3 linked regions of the Tamandua tetradactyla genome follow. The protein of the gene in region 1 interacts with the protein of each later gene in a pairwise test. Links are inferred from orthologs where the notes say so. Each region holds a gene or a part of one and is shown in the gene's direction. Other genes may lie near its edges. The genes, in order: SORBS3, TBC1D22B and KIAA0408.

The links.
Region 2: the proteins of SORBS3 (region 1) and TBC1D22B interact in binary tests that used the Homo sapiens proteins (3 or more experiments, as listed by UniProt). The link is inferred for Tamandua tetradactyla from reciprocal best matches to the Homo sapiens genes SORBS3 and TBC1D22B.
Region 3: the proteins of SORBS3 (region 1) and KIAA0408 interact in binary tests that used the Homo sapiens proteins (3 or more experiments, as listed by UniProt). The two-hybrid records come from large-scale screens. The link is inferred for Tamandua tetradactyla from reciprocal best matches to the Homo sapiens genes SORBS3 and KIAA0408.

The regions. Positions count from the first base shown.
Region 1 is NC_135329.1:23,326,731-23,334,841, forward strand, and holds the start of SORBS3 (vinexin), read left to right. Parts: upstream 1-4,892; 5' UTR 4,893-5,297; coding exon 5,298-5,545; intron 5,546-7,495; coding exon 7,496-7,663; intron 7,664-8,111. UniProt on the Homo sapiens protein: Vinexin alpha isoform promotes up-regulation of actin stress fiber formation. Vinexin beta isoform plays a role in cell spreading and enhances the activation of JNK/SAPK in response to EGF stimulation by using its third SH3 domain.
Region 2 is NC_135331.1:94,153,282-94,161,311, forward strand, and holds the start of TBC1D22B (TBC1 domain family member 22B), read left to right. Parts: upstream 1-4,779; 5' UTR 4,780-4,930; coding exon 4,931-4,986; intron 4,987-8,030. UniProt on the Homo sapiens protein: May act as a GTPase-activating protein for Rab family protein(s).
Region 3 is NC_135331.1:188,751,024-188,758,916, reverse strand, and holds the start of KIAA0408 (uncharacterized protein KIAA0408 homolog), read left to right. Parts: upstream 1-4,553; coding exon 4,554-4,688; intron 4,689-7,893.

The DNA.
Region 1 (8,111 bases):
CATATAAAGCTCCAGTTTCCTACAGTTATTTGTAGTTATAACCATGGATTTCACTTTGTGGGACACTCCACCAATATCTTTTCTGAAATATGCCATAAGGAGGAGTAAAGGGCAACTTGGGAAACTCCAGAAATAGATCAAGGAGGGTTTGGATTACACGGAGAACATTCTGAAGACTTGTATTGCCACAGTGCCTTTGCAGCATCACTATGTTCAGAACACTCATAGGAAAGCCTTAAGAAAGAGCAAATGTGTCTTGAGGAAGAAATCTGTACAGTAGAAAAACAGGGTTTTACTTAAGTGAAAGCAGAGACCAATGCTAACAATAGAGCTTTGTGCCATTGACAGAGTGTGAAAGAGAGAACCTATATTACATTGAGACTTGTGACATGGCCTGCCAACAGAAGTGAATGAGGTCAGTGTTCGCTGCTTTCATCTACACAGCCACAAAGGTAAAGGTAACACTGCAGAGTATATTCCCTCCAAGGAGACCTTGACCTCATGTCTCAGCAAGCTTGACAAGACTCACTAAATACCACCTTTGTCTGAGACAGTTATGACCAGTCTTAGCATCTTCTCCTCTTCTATAACCCCATGACAAATCTAGGTGGCTTAAAATCAAGAAACAAGGACATGCATGTGGACCATCCCTCCAAGCAGCTCTAAAGTAGGGCCATTCACATTGCCCTCCTATATGCCCTTACCAAAATTCCCTTGACATAGCTGTCCTCAAAATAACTTTTTTTTTTTGCATGTTGAAGTGAAGGAGGTAATGTACCATAGATTTTTAAGTTTGAATAATAAAGATGTGGAGTTTTGTCAAAGTATCTTTTTAAGATGCCATCATGAACATCTCACTTGTCCTTTTTCAGTGTACTATAACCAACAGCTATTTTTCCTAATAGAAATGTCAGCAGTCATTTCCAATGAAAAGATCCTGGTTTTGCATCCTATTTGAGGTGGTCAGACACATGATACTAGCTGGCAGTGTAATTATTTTTAGGTTCTTATGAATTACGGAATATATACTTATTCTTAGAGATTACATGCTTTTTTCATGCTTTCAGTTATGTTAAAGAGATGGTGGAAATGTTATTTTGGCAGAAATCATTTAATTAGTCTTTCTTGAGAATAAGAAATGAATTTGTTCGAACTTTCTTACTGTAAATTGGAAATCATCTTAAAGATAAAAAAAAAAGAAAACTCTCTTAAAATTAAACTATACCTTCATTGACTCCCTGTTTTCTTTATTTCCTGATGAAGGCACTTATATTTGGCTCTTACCTATTTAATAATTCTAGAAGTCGAGGGAAAGCTTGGTGTTTAGTGTCTGGTCTGGTCGCTGACAATGCCAAGGAATTCCCCTCTTAAGAGATGGAATTCCATCATAATAAAAAATACCTATTTCTTTCTCTCTTATCCTTTATTTTTAAATTGGCTTTGATAACTGTAGAGGTATTTCTATTTCTCTTCACTCAGAATTCATTCCGGGGCCCTTGGCTGCCTTCCTGGCATTTTGCCATAAGTAACTCATGCTCAAATCCAAGCTCCTTCTGTGGCTTCTCCAGCAGAGGCCGCAACTTTAAAAAAGGGAAGAAAGGCTCCCAGAAGACTGTTTTTACGAAACTGAAAAAAAAGTCTTTTATTGTAGTAAGTTAATTACTCTGCCTGTGATCCTAATAATAGACATGGATGAATTCCCACTCAGGAGAAGCTGAAGAAGGCAGAGAGGAGTTGAGTGTTAAGTCAGACTCCAAGAAAAAGAAGCATCAGAACCAGCCCTGTGATTCATCTGAAAAGTAGAAACATCAGGTGCTGGGGAGTCAAGAGGAAAAATAACCTCCTCTGGGCAAGTGGGTAATTGAGGATAGGGAAAGTGCCTAGCAGCCTGAAAGGAAAATGCATCAGTGAGGAAGTTCTACACGTTATGGCAGAGGAGGTAGAAAGTCTAAATCCAGAAAGTCAAACCCAAGTTCAGAATTTTTTACTTTAAACATACCACATTGAGGGCCACAGTGCAGTTCACAGCCCATAAAACAAGTCCAGATTTCTAATCTCAGATAAGCTGGGTATACATTTTGAGTTCTTTGTTATTCCAATAGCATCATGCCTTAGCGTTATCCTTATATTTCAGCTAAACCTTCAGCAAAATAGGAATATTATATGTGCCCTTATTTCCAGAATTGACAACCAGGTCCTAAAACTTTTTTAAAAGCCTGGTAATTAAGGATCCAAATGCAAAATTGTATTTAATTCTTGCTATATCAAGATCTAATCCCCATTTCTTGGGCTGCTAAATGTAATTACATGGTTTTATATTTTTTATCAAAATTTCCAGATTTTAGAAAGAATATCTATTTAATTCTGATGCAGGGAATTAAGAATTTAACAGTAAATTAGATGGTCTTTTTTTTAATGTTGATGCAGTTAAGGAGAAGGTTCATCATAAAATCGGAGGTGGAAAGACAAGGTTATTCTTTGTTCAGAGGCCAGAATTCTACCTCAAGTGTACACTGGCCAACAAATCATCCCTCTTATCTTACTTAGCTTAGCTTAACTGAGCTAGGAAAGATGGTTGATGCATACCTAATTTTCCAACTCCTGGTTCTGTGCTCTTCTTTGTGGTTGAGCTGACTTGGCTGGGTTTTTCCTCTGAGGTCATCACTCATTTATCCTTCCCCTATAAAATCTAGTCTCTAAAGAGCTGACAGACACTTCTCTTTCCATCTTTCCTGAGAACTAAAAGAAGTTCACACAGCTCAGTTCTTCTCAAAGACACCTCATCTGTGCATTGTGCTTGTTTGCCCAACTGGAAAAGAGGAAGAGAGAGAATAATTGTTATGTCAGTGTAAAACCTTCCTTGAGGATAGACTAGATAAACTGGGCAAAAGGCTGAGTTCTCACGCAGCCTCTAGGATTTGGATTTTGTTGGTTCCAAGAACCTTGAATAGATGCCCGTTCCATCATGTGTATGCTATGGAAAGATTTGTACAAAGGCAGGTCTGAAAGCCTCATTCTAATCCTTTGGGGATCCCCTCAGTCGTTCTGGCTTCCAGGGCCCACCATTGACCATACCTGACCTGTATTAATCTCATATATTTCTCACTCTCAAATATCCCTCATTTTACAGTGACTACAACAAAAATCTTGGATTTCAGATGAACAAGACATGGGAATAGGCCATCTACATCATGCCATTGTCCATTTAGGAGGGCCTTTTAAGCCCCAAAGAGGGTCATTTACTCTTTCCTCCTCTGCTTGCTCTTGTTCCCATGAGTGGCTGGTACAGATAAGGGCAATCAGTAGAACCTGGCTGGGAACACATGCAGGTGCTGGAATCAGGAGAGGACCCAGGAGAAAGGGATGGCGTTCAGGGGATGAAACAGCCCAGATTTTTGCTGGTGTGTGTATGACTGGTCTTCAGTTCCTCACTGCTGTGTCACTGTCAGCTTCCCCAATAGAGAAGTCCAAACTCGTCGAAAGGGACAGTGCTTTCTTTCCTAATCCATTCTGATCTGCTTGCTCAGTTCCCTTGGCAGGAAGAAAACACTCCTGAGAGTACAAATAAAAAACCAGCTCAAAGTCTACCTGAAAATTCATCCCTGAGAAAAAAAGGAACAATAGATGCCTTTCCTTTATCTAATGTAGGGGGACTGAGGCACAAAGCTGAGGAGGCACTTAGCTGTTTAGGGTAGATCACAGCAGTGTGTCTGGTGTGAATACCAAACTCCCAGGCCCAGATAAAGACACTCCTCAAGAAGGAGTCCATATTTATGTCTTCTGGGATCCCTGGCTTCCCTTTCCCCACTTAAGAAATGTAACAGTTCTCTGCTGGACCCTATTTACCTAGCCTTCCTTTATAATAAAAAACTACTGAAGTCCACTTTCCGTTCAACCTTCCTGTTGGTGACAGGTTAGTTTTCAGTGTGACCTGCATTCCTGCATGAAAAGCCACCTTCTTCCCTTTTGTGTGAAGTCCCACATTAATTGGTAGTCTCTTGACTAATCATCCCTTAGGGTGGTTGGAATGGACAGACCTCTGCTGACATGGGTGCTATTAAGGGATAATCCACAGAACTAAAGGTGGTAGCCTCCAGGAGTGGAGAGGGGGGCCTAAGATACTGGTGATTGGGATCTGACAGCTAGGAAAAACAGCAATTATGTAACTATGTTTACTATGGCTGAGGTGGCTCTGAGAAGGCAGAGGCAGTCCCCTGACAAAAGATAGTGCCAGTGCTCCTTTTATCTACCGTACTGCTCCTTTTATCTACATTATGACAGACGAGTAAAACCTATGGAATAAAAGTAAATAATAGGGGGAACAAATGTTAAAATAAATTTAGTAGATTGAAGTGCTTGTGATCAGTGAAAGGGAGGGGTAAGGGGTATGGTATGTATGAAATTTTTTCTGTTTTCTCTTTATTTCTTTTTCTGAATTGAGGCAAATGTTCTAAGAAATGATCATGATGATGAATATACAACTGTGTGATGATATTGTGAATTACTGATTATTTATGTAGAATGGAATGATCACATGTTAAGAATGTTTGTTTGTTATGTTTTTTAAAAATTAAAAAAAAAAAAGTGGCAGAGGTGGGGAGGAGGCAAGCTCAGGGAAGGAGGTCCCTGCATAAGGGAGTCATGCAGAGGACACACTGCTTTTGGATTAAAGGAATCTGTTCTGCTGTTGACAACAGCCATGTTATCTAGGACAGTCTCCTCTATCCTCAGCCTCTCCCTAAAAAGATGCCAACTGGGAAGTCAGGCCAGCAACAAATAGCACGAAGACAGAGGGAGGAGTTGAGAAATCAGACACCTGGTTTTGGGCTGTCTCTGAACCTTGCTACTCTTTTTTCCCCCTTCATCTCCCACTTTTCAAAGAGTAGGGATTCTTTTCCCTAAACATAGGCAGAACAGGAGGAAGTAGTCAAGGTTCCTTGTTTTTTTTCCTGCCCTATGCGCTCACCAATCCCTCATCCTCTCTTCTATGAGGTCAGATGGGCACCACGGAACACAACAGACAGTCCCCATTATAGGCCCTCCTTTGTCCAAGCAGATAGTCTAAGGTGCTGGGAAGGAAAATGATTTTAGCTGGTGCTAGGGCAAAGCATGTTCTGACCTGAGAGAAAAAGCCATAAGCCCGGCAGAATCAGCACCTAAGAAGACAGGCAGAAGTCAGAGCAGCTTAGGGAAAACCTCAGGTCTCCATCAGGGCCTGCCCCTCCTCCTCCTACGAAGCCGTATACTCCATATTTCCATAGCGATGAAACTGGTAGGCAGTTCCCAGCTACTTGCTGATGGCTGCCACCTCCCTTTGTGACAAACAGGAAGTTGGGACCTTTGTCAGCTCAGCTGCAACCTCTAGGTTAAATATTTATCTTGGAGCCCAGGTCAGAGCCCTAGAGAATAAGGGAAGCTTGCTGCTAGTGAGAAAGGGTATGGCCAGGATTCCTGGAGTCATAGGATCTTCAGCTTCACTGTCTTTGGAAAACAAGGAGGAAAATGAAAGTGATGTGGCCTTTCCTAGTGCCAAGGATCCTAACAGGTGGGAAAAATTGGTGACTAGAGAAATGGGCACATACATTGTCCCTAGGGAGAGAAAAAATGGTCCCTAGGGGTGGGTAAGTACTCAAGCTTTAGGAAAGGGAGGGATGCTCCACTTCCTGCCCTTAAGTTTCCTGAGCTCCTACCTTCCTTTCTGTAGCTGTCTTCTATTATGAGTGGCTCTCAAATCCATCCCCTTCCCTTCATCTTTCCTAAAGAATCATACATTCTTACAAGGAAACAGTTTCCTTCAGCCCCCTGCTCAGTGCAATAATTGCCTTGACAAAAACAATCCACAATTGGCAGACTTGGAACACTTACAGTTATTAAAGAACACTATCTTGGAAGGCTTGGATTGCTTTCCCTATAATTTGTACCCAATGGTCCCACTTCTGTTAGCAGAAGTTGCACTCCCACATAGTGTACTTCCATAGAATGCAAACATTGCTGCAGTCCCACAGACATTGGAAGTCAGCCTGCACGCCCTGTCTCTCAAGCTTCTCCTTAGCCTAAATATCTCCTTTCATATTTGATCCTGTGTCAAGCCCATCCATTGCAACCAGAGATAATTCTTTTAAATGAAGTGAGAAAAGATAAGTTAAAAGCTAATAACATCAGCGGTGGTAGGGATTTAAAATAGCTTCATTCCCTCTCCCTACTCCCTTCTGAACTTTTGAGTTGAATAATATACTTGAAAAGCCTTCTGAGGACACTGATCTTAAAACCCAGTAGGCATGCAATAAATGTCTCCTTACTTTGACACTTTATAACTATCATCCCAAAGAGGGTCTGAAGTTGCTGTTTAGTTAGTTTAGGGCTTAGGATTCCAGAAACAAGCCAAAGGCTAGAAGTATTCCAGTCTGTTTCCATTATCAATGAACACTCATTTAGCACTCTCACTTTCGGCAACAGGCCCTGTGCAGACACAGGACTTGGAGGAAAGGTGGGCAGAGAAGGGAAGGCCACTAGGGTCAGGGAGTCAATGGGCAGGGACTCTTGGAACCCTGGCCAGAGATGTGGGAACAGAGGAAAAGCAGCAAGATCAAAACAAATCCCGTGTATGGGAACAGTCAGATCCTCCAAACCTCATCCCGGCCAGAAGAGACCCCACCCTCATCCTCTTTCGGGAGGCAGCATGCCCTGTGTGCTGCTCGCCTAGGCCAATTTCCTCCAGGGGCTGTCTCCAGGGTACCTGCACGTTTGCGAGCCATGTGTGTGTGCATGTGTGGGGTTTGCACACGTCCGAACGCGCGCTTACGCAAGCACAAAATCTCTTTTTCCTAGTGGGGAGGGAGCCAGCCGGGCCTTAACTCATTCTGCTAAGGACTCCCTGTGGGGCGCCCTCCGCTTATCTCGGTCCCAGCCAGTCTGCATCTCCTGCGGGTCTCCGGCCTCTCGAAGTTGCCGCCTCCCTATCAGTCGTTGGCCGGCCCGGGCTCTGGAGCCCACCGCTCGCTGTCGTTAATCACTTCTGCCCTCTGTCCTGGCTCCGCAGTGCAGCAGCTCCCTTCCCACACTCTGGAAATGTCGCTGGAAACTCTGAGTGGCTCTGGCTGGCTCTCCCGTGTCCCTCCCGACGCCAGCCTTACGGTGGGGGGCCGGGGGGAAGGCAGCTGGGAAACCAGAGCGGGCTCCCCAGGGACCCTCGGGCGGCGCCGCCTCCCGGCCGGCCCGACCTCCCCGGCAAGGGGCCACCAGCGTCCCCGCGGCGCGCCCGGCCCGGCCAGTGCCCCGACGGAGGGCACTCGCACGCCCTCAGCGGCGCGTCCCGGAGCCTCCGCCCCGCGAGGCGGGAGAGAGGGAGTAGCCGGGCCCTCCACCCCACCCCTCGGCAAACAGTTCAGATTGGAAACACTAACTCCGCCGGCCGCCCTCCCTCTTCCCCACTCACGTTCCCTTCCTCCCCGCGCGCGCGCGCTCACTGTCGCCCTCTCCCTCCGGGGGCGCCCAGCCCCCCGCAGCCCCAGCCCGGCCGGGTCACGAGGGCAGGGAGCGCACCTCGGACGTCTCCCCGGCCGCTCGCCGAGGGCCCACAGCGGCCGCGCCTGGCAGGAGCCGGGCCGAGATGCTCCTGCCCGCCCAGGCGTCCTCAGACCCCGCCACCTGTCTGCCCGGGAAGGTAGGTGCCACGGAGGGGAGGGCGGGCTAGGAGGCGGAGGCCGCAGGCGGGGAGGGACTGGGAGGGAACTCTGACCTGTGCCAAACCCGAAGAGGAGGCCGCCGAGCCGCTCCTCGTGGGGTCCCCAGAGGTTCCGCGTCCCAAACTCTGGAAACTTGGGTGGAAAGAGGCCATTAGCTCCCACCCACCCACCCACCGCCCCAAGCCGGAAAAGGAGAAATTTGAGAAAACCTTGTCCTTGTCCACGTGGACTTGTATGTAGCTGAAAAATACCCTGGGAAGAGCACAGGGCCAAGTCGCCAAGGTCAAGGCTGTAGAGATTGGGAGGGAGTTTGCCAACTAAAGCAAAGCTAGCTCATTTCTTCCAATCCTTTGGGGTGGGTTGCCTGGACTGAAGGGCTGGCTGAATTCTGGGAGGACCAGAGATGTCCCAGCACCTTCTGTCCTC
Region 2 (8,030 bases), on another chromosome or scaffold:
AAATTGCCAGCTGTGGGTAAAATCTGGTGCACCATCTGTCTTTATATGGGCCATGAGCTAAGAATGGTCTTTACATTTTAAAATTGTTGAAAAAAAATGGACAGAAGAGCAATATTTTGTGATGTGAAAATTATATGAAATTCAAATTTCAATGTCCATAAATGCCATTTTATTGCAACACGGCCATGCTCATTCATTAACCTATTGTCTATGGTTGTTTTTATGCTACAATGGCAGAGTTAAGGACTTGCAACAGAGATTGCATATCCTGCAGAATCTAAAATATTTACTATCTGGCCCTTTATAAACAAGCTTGCCAACCCCTGGTTCATTGCATAACTGATATATTTCACAATAATAAAAACTATGGCAGTATTAAAGAAAATCTCCAGAAGAAAAAGATCTATAATTCTACCATCTAACAAAAATTGCTTAATTTCCCATGTTTCTTCCAGTCTTTGACCATACATTTCAATGTATTTTTATTGAAATCAAGCAATGGTATTTTGCATTCTGCAGTCTCCTCTCTTTACATCACACTATAATCCTTTTCCACGTGCTACGTAGCTTTCAACATTTTTAAATATAATTATTAGAGAAGTTGAAGGTTTGAAGAAAAAAATCATGCATAAAATAGAGTTCCCATATACACCTTGCATTAGTGTGCTCCATTTGTTACAATTCATTATTTCAACACTTTTTCATGGCACAATATGCTCATCAAATTTATAAACCACATACCATAATTTGTATAACCACAACCTCATGTTTAAATCTTAATATTATATTCCCCCCCCCACATACACACTATTTATTATTGGTTATAAGGTGCAGAACTTCTTTATGCACAGAGCTTTCCCCCCTCCTTTTGACTTAATATAATAAATTCCTAAGAACAAAGTACCTAATCTTTCTTTCACCCACATCCCAAGCTCTAATCACTCTGTCTTCCCTTCTTTATTTCAGTAAATTCTTGCTTCTTCAGATTTTCGTATATCCCTTTGCCTTCTCCAATATGACTGATTTCTTTCATTTGGCTTTTTCTAGTTGGTTAGATACCAAAAAAGCTCTCTTATCCTTAAATCCCAGCTTGATCTCACCATTCCTTTGTTGGTGCAACATTCTACAGTGCATTATGAGGGCTGTTTCTTGCCTAATTTCTTAACCCTTCCTGTCATCACAGTGTCTACATCCTTCCACTTCATTCTTTTACTGAGGTTAAAGTCCACCAGCACTCTTTGTTATTAAGTCTAAAGGCTTTTATTCTCTCTTATTATTTTCCTCACGGAGCATCTGCTCTGAAATGACCTCTCTACTGTTCTTCAGGCTGTTCTCTTTCTTTTCCTGCATGTCCCATCTCTTACATAAAACTTTCCCTAAGCGTTGGGAAATACGACCTCTTTTTAGTACAAACCCTGCACAGTTCATTCCCTTAACTCCACTTTGCTCCATTCTAAGTTGTTTAATTCTTATTATGAATGAAGATGAGGTTAAGGAGAGTCCTTGACTTGGTTTCAAAATAATTAAACACTTCAGACAAATTCAAAGATCACAGAGCTATTAAGAGAAGATCTACAAAGTGAGGGCCACAGTTCAGCAGCATGAGTGTCATCTGGGAATTCTGGAGAAATGCAGAATTGTAGGCTCCAGCCAAGACCTACTGAATTAGAACTAGACTTTTAATAAGGTCCCAGGTGATCTGTATGTACATTAAATTATGAGAAGCATTGGTCTAGTGAACATATATGTCTGCCACTAAGAACCTCCATCAAGGGAGTGCAAGTGTGGTTCAGTGGTAGAATTCTTGCCCGCCATGCGGGAGACCCAGATTTGATTTCTGGCTTATGCAGTGCTCCCCCACCCCCCACCCCCCCAAATCAACAAATGGTGCTGCAATAATGGGACATTCACACTGAAAAAGGAATGAAATGTGACCCCCACCACACAGCATACAAAAAAAAAAATCTTCCATCAAAAAGGCTCCAAGGACACCTTGGGAACATTAAACCAGTAATTTTCACCTCTAGCTGGGCAATGTTTGGTGTGAATTTGGCTGCAGGAGATGGAGACAGACAACAAACAAATAATCTTTGATATACAGTGTAGATTTGAGTCCTGGGTAGGTAGGTGGTCTCCTTCTTATATCACTCCAGTATATTCTTCTGAAGCTGCAAAAGAGTTTGAAGAAGATTGTGTTTCCCAAGAGAGGAAGATGGTTCTTCAACCAAAGGTTTACTCAAGCTTATAGGATCTTTGGTAAAATGGACACGTCCTATTAGGCGACATGCTTTCTCTAACAATTCCCAACCAAAAATGTGTACGGACAATGTGCTGCTTTGAAAGGATGTATGGCCCCTAGAAAAGCCATGTTTTAATCTAAATCCCATTTTGTAAAGGCAGAATAGTCCCTATTCAATACTGTATGTTTGAAACTGTAATCAGATCATCTCCCTGGAGATGTGATTAAATCAGGAGTGCTTGTTAAACTGGATTAGGTAACGACATGTCTCCACCCATTGGGTGGGTCTTGACTGGTTTACTGGAGTCCTATAATAGAGGAAATATTTCGGAGAATGAGAGATTTGGAGAGAGCAGAGAATGCTGCAGCACCACGAAGCAGAGAGTCAACAAGCCAGCAACCTTTGGAGATGAAGAAGGAAAATGTCTCCCGGGGAGCTTCATGTAAACGGAAGCCAGGAGAGAAAGTTAGCATGACGCCGTGTTTGCCATGTGCCCTTCCAGCTGAGAGAAAAACCTTGACTGTGTTCGTCATGTGCCTTCTCACTTGAGAGAGAAACCCTGAACTTCATCAGCCTTCTTGAACCAAGGTATCTCTCCCTGGATGCCTTAGATTGGACATTTCTATAGACTTATTTTAATTGGGACATTTTCCCGGCCTTAGAACTGTAAACCAGCAACTTATTAAATTCCCCTTTTAAAAGCCATTCCATTTCTGGTATATTGCATTCCGGCAGATAGCAAACTAGAACAGATGTAGAAAACAGAGTAAGAATAACAGAGCTTCTTTGTGTTGAACAATATTAATAGCATCCCTTGGGAATCAGTGTTATTTAACATTTCATAAATGATTAAGAAAAAGAAATACTTTGAGACATAGGCACACAAATTATATTCTGCTTTCTGCCTAGTGAAATGTCAAGTCAATAGGGACATCTTCTGGGACATTTCTAATGCAATGTGAGGATGCTGGAAAGTGGCAAGTGTCTTGCCATGTGGACAAGTGTAAGGCAGTGTACGTAAGAAAAGACAATTCAGATGATATATTTAATGTTATGAACTCTGAACTGCCAGGTACCACCAAGGAAAGGAATCTAGAAGTCGCCGTAGATTATTCCACCAGGACATTAACTCTTCTAAAGTCCAAAAATGCCAGCAAAGTTTCTGGATGTCCAGAATAAAGAGATAACATCAGCTTCAACAAAAATCCACCCATTTGGGGGCTCACTGTGCAGTGCTGGCCACGGCATCCTAAGAAAAAGAGCCATAGAAAGGCGGCTAAAGTGATTTAAAAGACAGAGGTGGTTTTGTTTAATGGATTTAAGGCCCATAAAGGTGCTAGTTGAGAGAAGATAAGATGAAAGTCTGTAAAAGCATGAACGATTCAGGAGACTAAAAATAGCCCTTTTCATACAAACCCATAATTCTAAAATTAGGGGTCAAAAGAAGCTTGGCATTGGGGATAAAGTCTATGTAGAAAGTGGCCATTGAAAACATATAAAAGAAGGTCCTTCTTTAGACAGGAGGTCGTTAAGTATACTCCAATACATACTCCAAAAACTACTCTGGACCTCCCTTCATCATGTAAATATTCCCATGGTATACAACCAGGGAAACTCAAAAAAAAGCAAAACCACCAAGAAGACATTCAAAAGATTCAAAATGATAATATTAAATCTTATTCTAAGTCAAAATCAGATTGAAAATAAATTCAAGGGTGAATGATTTATACTAGACTAAAAGGGAAATTAAGGATGTTTGGGGTTACATCCTTATTCTTTGTGATTTACACTATAGAGGGATACTATGTCCTCTTAAGAAATAGTATGTGGTAGTCTGAATTGGATGGATAAAATAAGAACATTCCCTAAACACTGTTTTTTAGTATCTAGATTCTCATAGTCAGAAAATCAGAATTATTGATTGAAACAGGGATTAAATCATTCGAATTTCATCTACAACAAATTCCTTTCACAGTGCAATTAACAGAGGCCAGGGTGACTGATAAAATAACCGTTACTCACGTGTAGAACAGTTAACTCAGTTATTGGATCCGTACTGACTCTACTTTACAGATAAATAAGCGGGATCCAAACAGAACCTGGAAGGGGAAGATAATAATCACAGTGTTACTGAGTCGGGAGATGTTAAAAATGGGCCATAATCAACACATGAGTCCTTGACTTTTAGGTCGAAGATTTTTTATATGTATACATACATACAGATCACGCTCTCTCTTAAAAACATATATATATATAAGACTCAGAAACACGAGAGACCTAATTTCTCCCTAAGAAAACGGAACCCTTCATCTTTCTCATAGGTCCCTTTCTTTACCTGCTTCTCCTCCCTTCCCGGAGGTAGCAACTTTCAGCCCCGCCTTCTTGCCTGTTCACGCTCCGCCTTCCCCGTCCACCTGTATGCCCGGCTCATGACGTGGCCGATCGCCTTCAGGGGCATGCAGGATTCGGGCTCCCGATTGGTCCGTGCGTCCACGGCCTCTGCAGCCCACCAATGGCAGCGGCGCTGGGTGGAGGGGCGCCCACATCCAAGATGGCGCTCCCTGGCGCTGGGTGCGGGTGACCGGCGGCGGGGAAGCGGCCTGGGTTGGCCCTCCGGTTGCCGGGTCTGGGGGCGTCTGGCCGGGTCCCCCAGCTAGGCCCGCCTACAGCGCTTTCCCCGGGCTGGAGCCATGGCCGCCGAGAACAGCAAGCAGTTTTGGAAGAGGAGCGCCAAGCTGCCGGGGAGGTGAGCCCAGGACCCTGAAACGGAGAGGGGATTGGATCAAACCTCTCCAGATGCTAAGCCCTAAATCCCGCGGGCCTGGGGCGCCCCCGAGCCGGGAAGGCTGGCTGGGGAAACCCGCTCTAGGGGGGCGGGGGCTGCCGGGGGGAGGCAGGTCTGCTGTCAGGCAGAGGAGTTGGGAAACGGCTGAGTGTGGGGGCAGACAGGGGTCTTGGGGCGGAGGTCTCCAAGGGGGTGCCTGCCCTCAGAGCAGACCGGGTGTAAGGGGAAGTGGAGTTTGATGAATAGCCAGTGTCGGCCCTGGGTTCGGATGACCATCCCAGGGCTGCTTCCCACTTTGAACAGAATTCCCTTCCGGGGGTCGTCACCTTGCACAGGTGGTTGCTTGCGTTGAGGATAGCCCCTTCCCTTATTCTCCCAGTTCCACACGTTTGAATCTTTCTCCTGGACTCGTAAAAGGTTCTGGTAGGAGCTCGGGCTGCCTGTAAGGGACAAAAAAAGTGAGGAAAATCCTCCAACCCGACCGTACTTTATCTCAAGTCGGCCCTTTTCCATTAGGAATTATTACAAGGTGACCCTAGAATCGGGGCTTTTTTTTTTTTCCCGGCATTTTTCAGGTTTTTGTCCATTGCCTACAGACCACCCTCCTCCCTGCGTGGTAATATTCGTGTGCAAACGTACTAATTCTGAATTCTTTCATTCCTCAGTTTAGTTGGAGAGCAGACCTTCTAAACTACTTTTTTTCGAATTTGTGCCTTTTTAACGAGAGAAATGAGGGCCAGTGATGACTATGTAGCAGTCTGATTTTATTAGGATCTTGTTAGACCTATAGCGAATAGGATGGGAATCAACTTTTAGTAATACATTATTAAAATAATGCAAAGATAACTTCGGATTGTAATGCTGTGGAATTACAGTGTTAATATTAGTGCTAAAGACTTTTGATGTTTTTAGATAAGCACCACTTCCTGCCAACTGATTCCTTTTCCTTCCTGATCTGGTGAGCTCTCCAGTTGTGCTAACTTCTGTTCTCTGGGGTTTTCCATAGTAAGATCATTAAAATTTGACATCCTCAGATAGTAATCAGAATTAAAGGGAAAACTGTTAAATCAGGAAGGAGTATATGAGCTTTGGACATGGCATGGTCTTTTGTGCCTACTGACTGCTGGTTGCTATTAATGATCTTTTGTTTTCCACACTTCCTCTTTTGGACTATAGGAACAGTCAACTTTTTGAAAGCACTGCTTTTGTGAGATAGAAAGAAGAGTCTTTATTAAATTTCTTCAAGTTTCTGACTTCTTTTTTCACTTTAAAGAGGAATGTAGAGGAATAGAGTAGACCATTTGATTTAAAAAAGACCTCGTCTCTTATTTACCTGTGCCACCAAGGACAAATACTTAATTTCTCTAGACCTCGGTTTTCTTATCTGTGACATGAGGATAACAGTAACTTCCTCAGAGTTATTGTGAAGACTAAATGAAATACTGTATTTGTAAAGAATCTAGGAGAGAGTTTATATAGCATATTACAGTTGCTTAATAAATAGTAATTATTAAAATTGCTGTTACTGTTAGAGCAAGTAAACTTAAAAGCTTGTTTCTCAAGTTCTTACCCTAGTATTAGGGTTTATTGTTTATTCTTAAGGTATTAAATTGTTGCCACACTTCATAAGATTTTTTGATGCCTTGTTTGTTGAAGAGAAACATTGTTCAGGTCTGAGCTTTTAGCAGGGAAGCCCCAGACACCCCTGTTTATGGTAGACAATTAAGGTTCTTTTAGATAGAAAGGTGCTTTGATTTAAGAACTTTACATCTGTACTCTTTCAGTTTTAGTGAAAAAAACCTTTCTCCTGTGTGGAGAAATGAAACAAATGGCTGTATGCTAAGATCATGACACTCTAGAAGTGAGACTAGTTTACTCTGCAGATTGAAAGGTAAAAAATCAAAGTGATGGCAGGGTACTTCAGAAAGTTTCAGAAACTTTCAGTTTCTTTGATCAGGATCTAGAGACCTTAATGACAACAATAGGAATTTTATTTAGTTAAAATAACCTAGGTTCAAAATTAATTAAATGCCTCGTTTTTTCATTGAGAAATATTTACACACATACAGTCTAACCATATTATACAATCAAGGGCTCACGATATCATATAATTGTGTATTCTTCACCATGATCATATTTAGAACATTTGCATCACTCCAGAAAAAGAAATAAAAAGGAGAAAAAAAGAACTCATCTCACAGCCCTTACTCCTCCGTCTCATTGACAACTAATATATTTTGATCTACCCAATTTTTACCCTTTATCCCCCCTATTATTTATATATTTTTTATCCTTATTCTTTTACTCATCTGTCCATATCCTGGATAAAGGGAGCATCAGACACAAAGTTTTCACAATCACATGGTCACGTTGTAAATGCTATATAGTTATACAGTCTTCAAGAAACAGGGCTACTGGAACACAGCTCAGCAGTTTCAGGTCCTTCTAGCCACTCCAGTTCACCATAAACTACAACAGAATATCTATATAATGTATAAGAATAACCTCCAGGATAACCTCCTGACTCTGTTTGAAATAAATGCTCTTTTATTAAAAAAAAAATAACAGTTTTAATAGGATGAAATTCACATACCATAAAACCCTTTTACAGTGTACAATTCATTGCTTTTTTAAGGGTATTCATAGTGCTGGGCATCCATCACCACTAATTTCAAAACATTTCCATCACCGCAGAAAGAAATGCATGCCTCTTAGCAGTCACTTCCCATTACTCCTTCCTTCCAGCACCTGGTAACCACTAATCTATTTTCTGTTTCTATGGATTTGCCTATTCTGTCCATTTTATATAAATTTAATAATTCAATATGTGGCCTTTGTGACTGGCTTCATTTCCTAAGCTTAATACTTTTAAGGTTCATCCATGTTTTAGCATGTATAATACTTCATTTCTTCTGTAGTTGAATAATATTTCGTTGTATGGATATACTACATTTTGTTTATCCATTCATCAGTTGATGGGCATTTGGATTATTTCCATTTTTTGG
Region 3 (7,893 bases), on another chromosome or scaffold:
AACAACTGCACACCAAGAGGCTTCACTATATTTCTTAGAATCCTGTTTTTATGAGGATGATGACTTTTATGGTGTGCAAAGTAAATTTCACAATCCGAGAGATCGCTGATATTTGAAAATTGCAGTGAAAATAGAATTTCATCCAAGGTAATGTTTTTTTCACTGCATATTAGGTGTTTCAGTAATTTGAGTTGCAGTCTCTGCATAATGGGCTAATCTTCTGCAGGTAAGAGGGAGTCTTGCCACTACATCTTCTCTTGCTTTAGCTGGTTACTCATTAATTTGAGCCATTTGTTTTCCTGCCAATAATTTCCTTCCAAGTGTTTATTTTATAAGCTAAGAGAAGTAAAATGAGTTTACCTATTGCTTGGGTATTTTCTCATTGGAGTAAATAAATGGAGAGGAAAGTCAGGAAAGGAAAAGATTAAATGAGAAGGCAAAGTTGATTTCTTTGGAATTGCGTGTGGTAGTGTCTCTTTGGCTTTGTCTGAAACAGGCAGAACATGCTGAAATAGCAATAAATAGCAGTAAAAATATTTCCTATTACCCAGGAACAAAATCATATGGTTGTCTCTAGAAGAATGCATTTGTCTGTGGACAATATGGCAGGAATAAGGTCCGATATTAGATGAGATGGTGCAAGTCATTTGTAATAGTCTGGAGAAATGGCTAAGGGGTTTTGGTAGCAAAAGGTGCATTACTTGGACAGGTGTAGGCATGGAAATAGCTGATGCCTCAAAGTTAACTAGAAACAAAGCGTTTCCAGGGAAATGATTCTTCTTAGAGTTGTGATAGTGGCAGTACCCACTGGGAGTGGCGTTGGAATATGCAACCTCATATATATAATTGAAAAATCTTCATGGATGTGTTAAGAAAAAAGAAATAGGAGAGCAAAGAACACATATTCTGAACAAAAGTCTCAGAAGAGAGAAGTAGCTACTAGAAAATTTCCCTCATATGGATTTGTCTGATTGGCAGTTTTCAGTGGGGAAAAAGTGGGGTTGACCTGGTCATAACAAGATTGGAGCTTCCCTCAAGTAAAAGAGACCAACCTAAGCTAATTTGGTGAGTGGAAATAATTTCTTGTGAGAACCCTGTCTTACTTAGAAAGTTTGCTTTCTAGTAGGGCCAGAAGGTGAGATGAACTATTTCCTTCCCACCTCCAGACTTAGCCAGGCCACCCTCCAGTTCTGGATAAAGGGAATCAGAAATGCCAGTGGAGAGCTGTCCGGTAGGAAGGACGCGTGTGACTAAGTCACGCAGCTCGCCCTGTCCTTTCCCCTGGGCGCTAACAAATGTTAACTCTGAAGGGAATTCGGGAAGGACTGCAGTGCAATAGAGAATCAAAGAGACACGGGGGAGGGCGGCGGATCGCAGAAATCCTTCCTTCTCTCCCACGTAGATGCCGATATCTGTGGGAGAAAAAGGCTGACAATGAGGAACAAAGAGAACTTTCATATTTGCCTGGGTAGAGAGCACTGGGTTTGCGTTTCCGCGTGTGGTGAACCGCTTTACCCCATAACTTCTCGTTCCAGAACATTCTGTCCCTACAAAACTGACCCTTCATTTTTTTTTAATACTTAAGTGTTAGCGTTCTGACGAAAGCAGTTTTATGCAAGATTTGTTTATTCACATTTTTGCTAACAATTAAAAATATTTCCTAATATGTATCCTTAAAACGCTTGAAGAATACTGAGGGCAGAGGAAAACTGCTGATAATAAAAGAAATTTCCACATAGTTGGACTTGTTCTATAAGTTGACTGATTAAATAAAGATAAAAATCATGAAGGTGAAAAGAAACAAAAAATGCGGAGAGGTAGAAGAAGGAAGGCAGGAGTGAGGAGGGTCAGGAAGAAAGCAGGGGTGGAGGAGAAAGAGGAGAAATGGGCGTTTGTGGAGCACTCGCTGTGGGCCGCAGTGGTGGCAGGCATCACCTCTCTTCCTCATCCTCACGAGCCTGCAGCCCTCACATGATGTCTAGATGGAGAAGCAGTATCGTCAAGACGTTATGTTTGATGGTTTTGACAGGGCAGAGATGCAAAAAGGCCACATAAATTCTGCTGTGAAAAAACTGGTACAGATTTTGCCCTTGAGTGTTTATTTTTCAAGGGCTTGTCTTTGATCTGTCACCATCGTATTTCCTGGCACTAGAACTTGCTCGGGCCCTGGGGCGCAGGAAGTGATGGGTTTGGCTCCTTGCCAGGATGCGCGGGGCTCAGTCTGCCTGCCCAGGAGCGTCCCCTGGTGCAGGTGCGGCCCGGCACCCAGAGCAAGCCTTCAGGTCGGTGAAGGGAGAAGGGGCTGACACTCTCGTAACTGGTGTGGAAGTGCTTCAAGGAGAGTTAGGAATAGAAAGGAAAATCGGAGCCATTTGCGACATTAATGTAGAGGAAACTTAATGATGCTCTCTGAATATTGCCAGTGTTTAGAGACAGTGGGCTAAACAAGGTTACCGTAGCCTCTCTTTTCCAGATTGTTTGAAATTGTTCTGCTCCTATTTTATAATGTCCGTGGTTAAACCTGCAGTTTAACCATACATACAAAAATTCTGTATGTTCTTTGTTTTGATGGGTCCTTGACGACAGATTGATTTTGGGGTGACTGTGCACTTGCTGGAGTAGATACTTAGTCACTGCCCGTAGGTGTGGAGGGCACAAAAAAGAAGTAGAAGTGGTAGAAGAGATGGAGAATGGGGTTAGAAATAGGAAATGGTGAGGTGGATAAAATGAGACATGGTAGCACGTTTAATGGCTAAATCCGAAATGACTCATTTTTCACGACTGAATTAGTCATAATATTGCAAGTGCCAAGACAATAAGTAAAAATTATCTATTCAAAATTACCAGCTCATCATGTAATACTGAGAAGGCCCAGTTGACAAACCTCCCCTTACCAGAGCCAGACAAATTTCTGGTGCCATACTTTGAGAGAATAATAGCAATATACATCACAGTATAGCTACGGTGCTTTTGGAGGTGAAGCCCTAAATACCTGACTAACGTTTGTTTTCTTATTATATATTATAATTCATTGATAGATTGCAGATCAAAAGTATATGTTCAGACGGGTTTGCCCCTCATGTATAGTCAGAACAGTCTTACAAAAGTAAAATTAGTCTTCAGTTTTTATCTTAACTTAGGGTATGACACATTCAGCCATCATCTGTAACTATAGAAATGGCCTGGTTATGTAGGTTTAATTCTACAATGCCAGCACTCAGGAAGCTTTTGACTCTTAGGAACTTTGCTCATAATTAGCATGAGCTACAACGTGATAATGTAAGGCAATTCGGTACTGACCTAATAAACTGAAAAGTTACACTGCTTATGGGCATGATTATTTTAGATGGAGAGTCATGCATGTTAAATATGCTTTTCTGCCCATTAAAAAGCTATCTGACTTTATTAATCACAAATTATTTTCAATTAAAGCAAGAGCAAACATTTTAAATGCAAAATTGGGGAAATTTTAAAATATTTTATAAACTACGTTGTATTCAACATGTCATTTAATCTTTAAATCAAGCCTGTGAAAATTCTTATGTTAATGTGAATAAACTGAAGCTCAGAAATTTTAGGTAACTTTAAATGGAGACGCAGATCTAATATATTAAACCATATCTTAAAACCCTAAATGCACATACCCCAAATATGTAATCAAATTATTATTATCACTGCTTATTATCAAGGAGTAAAATGAGTAAAAGATTTTCTTCAATTCTCTGCATTCTAATGTCCTAAACAGTTTATTAAACAGTTTATGATATATGGTCTATGAAAAGGGAAAGAGAGCTAGATAAATTTTAGCTTAACGCACAGCATAGTTTTGATGTTTTCCAATTTTATTTGGTGAAGTGACATAATTAAAATATATTTGTATAATTTGATCTCTTGGTGACACATCTGTTCAAGGTCGACTACCAACATAGTCTTAATTGATGCGGTATCACATTTGACAAGGTCTCTGAATGTAGAATTGACACTCTAGTTCAGCACTGGCTTAGGAATTTAGTCACAGAAACATATAATCAGATTGCCTAAAACAGTAATTAGATTGCAGCAGAATCTGCCACTGTTGTGTAGATGCAGCGTGGAGTTGAACTTGATACGTCCCCTCTTACATATTCATGAAAAATAAAGACAATCTTTAGAATAGTTGGTTAGGTAAAGGAAAACTTAGAACTCACACCTGCGTGCAACCATGACGCCCAGTATAATTTTGCTGTCTGGTCTCAGAAACAAAGGGGAAAGGAAAACTTTGGACAGTCTTTCTTTATGGACTGTATTAGGTTTTTGTTCTTAAGCAGATTGTTGTCATCTATTTCTTTTCTTTTGAGTCCAGTTTTCCTATAGTTTATTTTAATGGCTCTTGCAATTTGATAAACTGTTTCCAGAAAGCACATGGATTTGGAACTTTCTCTTATTATGTTTATATTAGGCTTTATTTTAAGACAAGCGAGATTGCTTCAAATAAAACACCTCCAAGCTTCCAAGAAACAGTTAAGAGAAGGCAGAGACGAGCTGAAACACCTCTTTGCTGACCCGCGGTTGCCATGGACCTGCATAAGCAGTGGGAGAACACAGAGACCAACTGGCACAAAGAGAAGATGGAATTACTGGACCAGTTTGACAATGAAAGGAAGGAATGGGAAAGTCAATGGAAGATCATGCAGAAGAAGATAGAAGAGGTACGAGCTGATTTGTTTTGAATATATTGCAAAATTCCAGCTCAGATGCAAATTCTGTTAAGCTTTCTCTTGAATTGGAAACATTTTTATTGTCCTTATCCATTCTGACAGATGCATGTCTCAGTGACATTTACTAGATCAGAAATAGCACAGCCTTAGTCAGTGGTATCTGAGCACCTGGGCTCATTTCATAGCCCTGGATGGAAATTAGGAGCTTAAAATGTCACTCTAAAATGTGTCCGTTTATTAGTTTATGGCCAGAGAGCCTGGGTATCAGAAGTGAGATAGGTATTTTGCGTGAGTTCTAAAACACCAGGGCCCATGAGGAAAACTCAAGAAAGTAAGACGTAACTACTGGGACATGTATCAGCAAAACTGCAATTGGGCATTATAATATAGATCTTTCTTTTCCTGAGATCATTTATAAATAATGTCTACTAAGGGAAATTACATGCTAGACAACTCAGTATATGTTTTTTAAAAGACTGTTATATGTCAAACATAAAATGGCACTGGAAAAGGTGTTGCTACATTTATTAAGAAGGGGATCATAAAAAATATCATACCATGCCTGACACAGTCATTGCATCTCCTTTAACCATTCCTCAGCCTGTCGGGACTGGTATGTTTCTTTCAAGGGTTTGCATTAGTGTATATTCAGGTTTACTCCAACTGAAAACTGTTTATACATTCTTCTGGTAACATCCATAGTATTGACTTCTGTGAGATTATGCACATTATTAAAGTGGTTATTTTAACAGACTCATGGGCCTTTATTCGCAGGCAATCAAAACAAGCACTTTACGTGTTCATAGCACAAACTTTTTTCTTACTAGCAACCACATAATTGGTTGTGATTAAAATATAAATCGGCATGATAAAAGGAAAGAGACAATAGCCAATGGACCTTCCACTAAAATAGAACTAAGAAGGCAGGCAACTAGTGCATAATTAGAGATTGAAGGGCAAAGAAATGTAATTTCTTTGCTTGGAGTAATCCACAATTTATCACTCTGTAGTTTGCAAAATGTGTTGAGCTTGCTTCCTTAATTCCTCTACCCAGAGACTCAAATTGTATTAGCAACAATATGCATAGGTCAAATCAGAATCCAAAAGTCCAATTCAGTCACAAACTGACTTATAATTATGGCCTCAAAAGGCATGAAAGGTCCAGTTAGTAACATCTCAAGATACTCCTAGCATCCAAACAAAATAATTAAGGAAAGCAGGATTGGTCTAGACAATTAATACCATTAGCTTAAAAATCTGGTGTCTGGTTAAATTTGTTATTGTCAAATAGCAAATTATTCTGACAACTCTGTAGATTCCATCTAAGGTAAGTATTAGCCTTATCAATTAGTTGGCATTAAACACACTTAAACATAGGATTGTGGTTCCTATAGATACTGTTCTTTTAAGGACTCCATATTTTTGCATCAGGGAGACAGAATTGTTGTAATGATAAAATATCTTATTCCTCTTGGAGGTTGCTATAGTGCTGTATTCATGCCTTTGCTGCCTGATGATATCTGTGGAATAATCTCCATAGCTGGGGCTAGAATGTATTGAGACAATGTGCTTACCCAGGATGCCCCTAGACAAAGTTCTATAACTGCTGAATACCTGCACTATGCTCCCCCTTTACCATTTGTGTGTGGACATATACAAACACACATGCATATAATATGTATGAAATATTTATAATAAATTTCAAAACATGTATAAAAGATGCCTTCTTATTGGCTGCAAAACTGGGGATAGAAAGACTGAAGAAAACAGGAGGAAAGCATTTTCATTTGTCTCAGAGAGAATCAAAGCAATTCTTAAAGACGAAAATTAAGAAATCAATACTTGGAAAAATTTTATTATGCCATAAGCACAACATACTGAGTTTATATAACATTTACCACTGACTTCTGAGGATTAAATTTTTAAGCCATGTCTTAGGGAATTATAGATTCCCCAATACAGAGTTGTAATGTCAGTGATTTCAAATGATCCTGTTGTCTGCTGAGAGTGTGCATTGATATGTATTAAGACTCTGACTTTCTATCAGCAACTCTTCACACTTGATTGTGAATTCCTTTTGCATTTGTTACTGCAAAACCAAAATGTACACACTTGGATCATTTGAACCCTGGAATAATCCAGACAGAAACTCTGGAATAGAGTTCATTGACATCTGGAAACCTTTCATTGCATTGCACTCATTCTTGCTTCTCTCCTTTACCGGAATGATCAGATAACCATTGACAAGGGCTGAGCACTAGGCCATGGAGATTTCCTTATGCAAAATAAATTGTCTTCCATCAGTCATATTATGTTGTTCATTTATTTGCACCTCATTCAAGTCCCAAAAAAGGGTTTAAGATGGCATACAAAATTGCACATAAGGCAAAGAATGCCAAAACAAAAATGAAGGCAAGGAAGGATAATGTGTGAAATCTATGTGATGAGTGTAAGCTTTCTAGGGCCTAACTCAAAAATTGTCTGATATCTATGTTTCAATATCTAGAAGACAGAAACAAATCTATTTCCCAGGAAAACCAGGTTTCTCTCATTTTTAAACTGAAGCAATTTTGTTTTATTCCATGCTTCATGAAAAAGAGGACAATGCCACCAGTAGCATCCTTAGGTTGAACACATTTTTTAGGACTGCTTCTTATAATACCCTTCAAGGTCTGCAAAGTCATAATGCCCAAAACAATTCAGTAAAAATTATTTTAGGGGCCAAAACATTTGATTCAAGGTTGCTGTTTGAAGGTATCCTGGCTTAATTCATAGATTCATTGAGTATTGAGAGAAACAAGTGGACTGCAAGTCTTGCAGACATCAACTTTACATAGAGCTTCACTCAACTGAGATTTGGGTAAATACTGAACAGCAGTAAGTCTGTTATTATATTCCTTATACAATATCAGTAATGTAGATCTTGGTTGTCTTTGTAAAATGGTAGAGCCATTTGCTTCAATGGTCTGTTGAAATTTGACACACTTCCCCAAGATTCAATCCTAAACAGAAGGCCACTTCCTTCCTCTCTTCAAGGGTGAGCTGAGTGCAGGAATAACTGGCATCTAATCAAGAAATAATTTGGGGTCTACTTTAATACTGACTGATCCATGATCAAAACCCTGCAGTTCTATTATATCACTTAGGACAGGGCCATATTTGTCTTAATCTGGATGAGAAGCTTTTCTGGAATGTG